2 linked regions of the Macaca fascicularis genome follow. The protein of the gene in region 2 purifies or fractionates together with the protein of the main gene of each other region. This does not show direct contact. Links are inferred from orthologs where the notes say so. Each region holds a gene or a part of one and is shown on either strand. Other genes may lie near its edges.

Evidence for each region.
Region 1: the proteins of SLC34A2 (region 2) and ENDOD1 purify together in Homo sapiens (co-immunoprecipitation; 3 studies listed by BioGRID and IntAct, counting the BioPlex papers as one, with this or other methods). This does not show direct contact. The link is inferred for Macaca fascicularis from reciprocal best matches to the Homo sapiens genes SLC34A2 and ENDOD1.

What each region holds. Positions count from the first base shown.
Region 1 is NC_088388.1:94,141,192-94,143,922, forward strand, and holds part of ENDOD1 (endonuclease domain-containing 1 protein), read left to right. Parts: intron 1-386; coding exon 387-1,589; 3' UTR 1,590-2,731. UniProt on the Homo sapiens protein: May act as a DNase and a RNase. Plays a role in the modulation of innate immune signaling through the cGAS-STING pathway by interacting with RNF26.
Region 2 is NC_088379.1:24,799,196-24,802,946, reverse strand, and holds part of SLC34A2 (sodium-dependent phosphate transport protein 2B), read right to left. Parts: intron 3,186-3,751; coding exon 3,018-3,185; intron 1,955-3,017; coding exon 1,838-1,954; intron 1,746-1,837; coding exon 1,621-1,745; intron 42-1,620; coding exon 1-41. UniProt on the Homo sapiens protein: Involved in actively transporting phosphate into cells via Na(+) cotransport.

The sequences.
Region 1 (2,731 bases), on a different chromosome or scaffold from region 2:
CTCAGGTGATCCACCTGCTTCAGCCTCCTGAAGTGCTAGGATTACAAGCATGAGCCACCGCACCTGGCCCCAGACTACAACAGATTTTAAAAAGAACATTACGATGGTGGGTGTGTGTGTGAGTGAAGGGGTGTTACTGTAGAGCAGGGTGGGGTAAACACAGGTAATAGACTAGGAAACAGCCTATCTGAAAGATGCTTTGAAACACCAGGATTTTGATATATTAGAATGAAGTGTGCATGTGCCAGAGAACCAAGTCCTTCCAAACTCAAGCATTTGAAGTAATAGACCAGTGGGGACTTCTCCAGAGTCTGGGCAGGATGATTCTAGTGCTGCCTCTGTGCTGTAAGCAGGGATACATCTCACCACTTGTTTTCTTCTTTCAGATCGATGACCCCAACAGCAATCTTGAGGAGGCGATTAATGAGGCAGAGGCCATCACCTCTGTGAACAGCCTGGGAAGCAAGCAAGCCTTGAATACAGATTACCTTGATTCTGATTACCAAAGAGGACAGCTATACCCGTTCTCCCTTAGCAGTGATCTCCAGGTGGCCACATTTACTCTCACAAATTCAGCCCCAATGACTCAGTCCTTCCAGGAACGGTGGTACGTGAATCTCCACAGCCTAATGGACCGGGCTCTGACCCCACAGTGTGGCAGTGGGGAAGACCTATATATCCTCACAGGCACAGTGCCCTCAGACTACAGAGTTAAAGACAAAGTGGCAGTCCCTGAGTTTGTTTGGCTGGCGGCCTGTTGTGCTGTCCCTGGAGGTGGCTGGGCCATGGGCTTTGTCAAGCACACCCGGGACAGTGACATCATAGAAGATGTGATGGTAAAAGATCTTCAGAAACTGCTTCCATTTAACCCTCAGCTGTTTCAGAACAACTGTGGTGAGACTGAGCAAGACACAGAGAAAATGAAAAAAATCCTGGAAGTGGTTAACCAAGTCCAGGATGAAGAACGAATGGTGCAATCTCAAAAGACTTCTAGTCCCCCCTCTAGCACCAGGAGCAAGAAGTCTGCTCCGTTGCCTCCAGAGGCATCTGAGGGAAGTAGTAGCTTTTTGGGAAAACTCATGGGCTTCATTGCTACCCCATTCATCAAGCTTTTTCAATTAATTTATTACCTTGTGGTAGCAATCCTGAAGAACATTGTCTATCTCCTGTGGTGTGTTACCAAGCAGGTGATTAATGGCATAGAAAGTTGTCTTTACCGCCTGGGGTCAGCCACCATCTCATACTTCGTGGCCATTGGGGAAGAGTTGGTGAGCATTCCCTGGAAGGTGCTGAAGGTTGTGGCCAAAGTCATCAGGGCTATTCTCCGGATCCTTTGTTGTCTGCTGAAGGCCATTTGCCGAGTTCTGAGCATCCCTATCCGTGTCCTTGTGGATGTGGCCACTTTCCCTGTGTATACCATGGGCGCTATTCCAATTGTATGCAAGGACATTGCACTGGGCCTTGGTGGCACTGTCTCACTGCTCTTTGACACTGCTTTTGGTACCCTGGGTGGCCTATTTCAGGTTGTTTTTAGTGTCTGCAAGCGGATTGGCTACAAGGTTACTTTTGACAATTCTGGGGAGTTATAAACTCAAAAAACTAATAGTATCCAGTCACCGTGAATTTGAAAGCTGGAATATTTTGTCTTTACAATGGGTTTCTGTTCACTGTCAGTTATCATTATATTTTGGCCTTTGGTGGGGATGTCTGCTTGTTTTTGCAAAAGAAGATGGCAGAATTTAGACTTGACAGAGGAGAAATGCTCAGGGTGAGATTAGGTGTAGTAATCTGCTGTTTACCTCCAGTTATGTGTGCAAACTCCCAAGCCACTAATAACTTCAGTTATGCACTCTGACATAGATGACCACCTGAAACGCACTGGTATTTATTTCTGATGATTAAAAATTACAAGAGAGGGAAGAATTAGAAAAAGAACAACTTTAAACCAAAAGTGTCTGAGAAAAGGACAAAGGGAGCTTGTTCTTCCCATTGCTTTTTGTGATTTAAGGCAAAACAGATAAAAAAAAATTCTGCAGCCAATTTCTCAGCATTTGCTTATCTTTCTCCCCAATTTAACTGACCTTGGTGGAATGCAGATAATGCCTCTCTGTTGAAATGACCTTGTGGGGATGTAGAATTTTCTGTATCTCTTAGCTTTTCTTGGCTCTCGAGGATATGTACAGTTTTCATTTTCTCCAAAGTTGAATTTTGCTACATTTTTCTTTTAGGTGATTATAAGCACTTTTAAAAAAATCATTTTTAGGTAATGGTAAGCATTTTATGCCGAACGTGGCGTAACAGAGTTTGAATTGAAGGGCAAAGGGTTTTTTTTTTTTTTGCACCTTGAATAGTATAATACAGTCCTCTCAGATGAAAAGAAGAGAAGAGAAGGTGGACAGCCCTGCTGTTAGTAGGTGCTGCAGATCCAAGGACATCTTTTGCCCAGCTTGGATTAACTTGACGTGTCTCCCTGCCTGACAAGGTTGAACTGAAAGATCCATATGTTAAGCTAACATGAAAATTCATATTCTGCAACATACTAGATTTTTCTAATGCATTGAGTAAGTACCTAGTACAGTAAAAATACTCTGACTTATGTCCCTAAATGGTTGTTTTGGTACAACTATATAGAAAAGAGCCACAAAATAAAGATAAAAATTATTCTGGCCATCTCTGAAAAAAATATATAAAATATTTAAGAATAATTATATCTTAGGAAATTATTTTTATA
Region 2 (3,751 bases):
AAGATGCCGGAGATGTTGAAGAAAAAGTGGCACAGGGCGATCTGCAACACAAGAGGTTGGACAGGTGAGGGCCTGTTGCCTAATGGGGGTGGCAGTAGGGAGGAGGGGACGGGGGAGGTAAGCTAGCAGGCATCACAGGTAGCACAGTCTCGGGCCTTCCAGGCCTTCCTTGTCTTTGCGGTTCAGCCCAGAGGGTACCTGGTTTCCATGAGGACCTACTACATGTCTGGGAGGGCCAGGAGCACTCAACTGTGCATTAGCTCAATCCTCAAAAAACACTCTACAGAGTGTCAATCATTATTTCTTGACATGAGATAATGGAGGCTCCTCAACTCCCACAGGTGGGAGATGGAAGAGGTGGAAATTCACATCCTGGGAGCCTGGCTCCAGAGGCCAGGCGCTTAGTCACTTTTCCAAGGCTGCCAAGGTGCAAAGTACCATGCCCAGGCTATGAACCAGCACTGTCCAATACACTAGCCGCATGTCCACACTGAGATTTGCTTTAAGTATGAAATACACACTAGATTTCAAAGACTTAGTCCCAGAAAAGAACAATGTCAAATATCTCAATTTTTGACAGACTGATTACATGTTAAAGTGATAATGGTTTAAATCAAGCACATTATTGAAGAATGAATCTGCCTGTTTCTACTTTTAAAAATGTATCTGCTAAAATCTTTTAGGATGACATATGTGGTTAATTTATATTATATGCTTGAATTTCTATTTCTGTTGCATAGATTGCTTTCCCTCATCAGATCTTTATAGTAATCCTAATGAGATAGGGGTTATATCCTCCATCTTTCACATGAGGGAATTGACACTCAGGTTAGATCACTTGCCAAAGGTCATTTGGGATGTAAATGGTGAGATAAGAATTCAAATCTCAGGCTGGGCGCAGTGGCTCACGCCTGTTATCCCAGCACTTTGGGAGGCCAAGGCAAGTGCATCATGAGGTCCGGAGTTCAAGACCAGCCTGGCCAACGTAGTGAAGCCCCGTCTCTACTAAAAATACAAAAAAATCAGTCAGGCGTGGTGGCAGGTGCCTGTAATCGCAGCTACTCGGGAGGCTGAGGCAGGAGAATCACTTGAATCCGGGAGGCGGAGGTTGCAGTGAGTGGAGATCACGCCACTGCACTCCAGCCTGGGAAATAGTGCGAGACTGTCTCAAAAAAATAAAATAAAATAAAATAAAATAAAATAAAATAAAATAAAATAAAACAAATAAATTCAAATCCCAAAGGTCTTGCACAAAGTAACCTAGATGGTCCACGCCAAGGAGTTCTCCTAATTGTAAAGTTCCCCACAGGAGGCAGTGAGGAGATGGGAGGTGGTGGCTGTGCTTCTTAAGTACCCTTTCTACATCTATATCAAGGGGCCACCCCACTTCTGCTGAAACCACCACCAGTTATGGGAGTCTTACTGCCTGTCTCAGAACTGATAGTTTTGATTGTTCTCATATCAAGGTCCTGAAAACTTTACCTGTGGCTTCCCCTCCACATATCAGTTCCATCTTTTGGACAGCACAGAGAAAAAGCCTGGCTCTTGTTAGAGACCAGTTTGCAAGACCATGTGTGGTCCCACCCCCAGGGCCCCTGCCCCGGGGCCCCGAGTCCTCACCTGGAGTGAACTCCTCAATGTATTGCCAGGGCTGGCTAAGGCGGCCAGGATGGCGGTGGTGGTGGTGCCGATGTTGGAGCCCAGCGTGAGTGGATAAGCCCTCTCAATGGTTATCACTCCGATTCCTTGGGGGGGATACAAACACAAACACATCAGCCCCATGGGATGACAGGAAATGGCAGTGGTGGCCAGAGCGAGAAGCTCAGGAATAACTCACCAATCAGGGGAGTCAAGGCCGACGTGAACACAGAGCTGCTCTGCACGATGAAGGTCATGCCTGCCCCGACGAGGATGGCCAGGTAGCCAGTCAACCACGCAAACGGAAAGGGGAAATCTGGAAGACAGAAGGAAGATATGTCATGGCCTCTCTGGAGAAGGAATGGGCTGATGGCCTAGGGCAGGGGCTGGGCTTACAGGTAAGGTTGTACAGGCACCTCCTCATCCTATATATGGTCTCAGATTACAGAGTTGAGTTTTAGAATCCAGTTTCATTCCCCATTGTCTTTTGCTCCACATATTCAGATGGAAAAACCAAGGATGCAGGTAAGTGTTATGGAAACAAAAACACAGACTCCCTGGAGGTCAGGTTAGAAAGAGTGAACCCACCCAAGTAACCACTCTCCTTCCAGAAAGGGCTGAGAGCATGCTTCCTCCCCTGCCCTGGCCTCCCATTAGCACCCACATTCAACCTTCAACCTTCATGTCCGCCTTAAGGAGCATCAGGAAAACACAGCAGCTTGGAACATGCCTACTAACTGAGTCCTCCACCCAACCAGCACCAGATCAGGCCCTGCATTTCCCACAAGCACTCAGAGTTGCTCTGTTCCCCCAAGACAACCTGGGGTGGGGGGTGAATTTTCTTGGCTACATTTAACTGAGTTGTCATGGAGTGATGATGTCATTGGCTTAGTGAGCTCTCATTGGCCAGGACACCCTACTTGGCAGGAAATCCTCTTGGCCAGCAGTCTCATTGGCCACCTCTAGATGCTGATGTATTTACACGTCACATTTCCTTCACAAGAGTGAAGGGAGGTGGGGGTGTGGGTGGACACCTGGGGTCCTTTTTCTAAGGGGTCTTGACAGAGCCAGTAAAGCCCTGAGCATACAGGAAATCCACTAGGAAGGAAGGCCTGATTCACAGTTCTCCAGATAGGAACTCCTTCTCAGGACCTTGCCAACATGCAATGGAAGCTTGGGCCTGCTCCCTAGACCCCACCCAGGACACCAAGAACTTTTCCACATGAATGACATCCTCACTTCTGCTGCTGATCCAATCTGAGAGAGAAACTCCATGCAGAGGCCATTGCTAGATGGGAATCTAAAGCACCCTCACACCTCATGCAGTGGCCATGATGACACCATCCCTCAAGGCCCACAAGTGAGGGCAGTGCACCTACCAGTGTTGATGGTCTTCTTGATGACAGTGGCGACCTGCCCCTTGAGCACAGAGCCCAGGATCTTGACAATCATGATCAGGCAACCACAGAGGACCAGCAGGGAGATTATGAGCAAGATGATACCCACAGCAAGATCTGGGAGGTGGAAATTCACGAAGATATGCTGGCCTAAAAAGACCACGAAGAACCTTGTCAGGAGGGCATGGAGCCACCACGGCTACAGATTGTTATTTATTCCCCCAGATCCTATCTTTTCTACGAACAGATTCCTGGTTGTTAGTTTGACATATGGCAGCCCCAAATCAAGACAGCTCTTCTCAGCCTCCTTTGCAGCAAAGGGCACCACTGAGATTATGTCATAGTCAGTGGGATCGCATGAGGCTGGAAGATCAAGTGATGACTTTAAAAATCACACAACTACTCAGGGGCAGACCCAGCCCAGTTCTGTCTCTAAAGACCATGCTGTGGATGGTCTAATTTTTTACTAATGATAAGTATGCTTTGAGGGGTTCCATGGGCAAGTCAAAGTAAGGGGCATTGCTAATTATAAAGCCCCTTCTGCATCCCCTAGATAATTCCAGCAAAACATGGTTATACGAATTAATATATAACCATTATATAGTGCCTAGAATGTGGGAGGTGGTATGTTAACTTGATTCTTTGGGGTAATCATACCTAGAGTATTAAAGTATACTGCTCAAAATTAATGTGGTGGGAGGGTGGGAAGAGAGAAG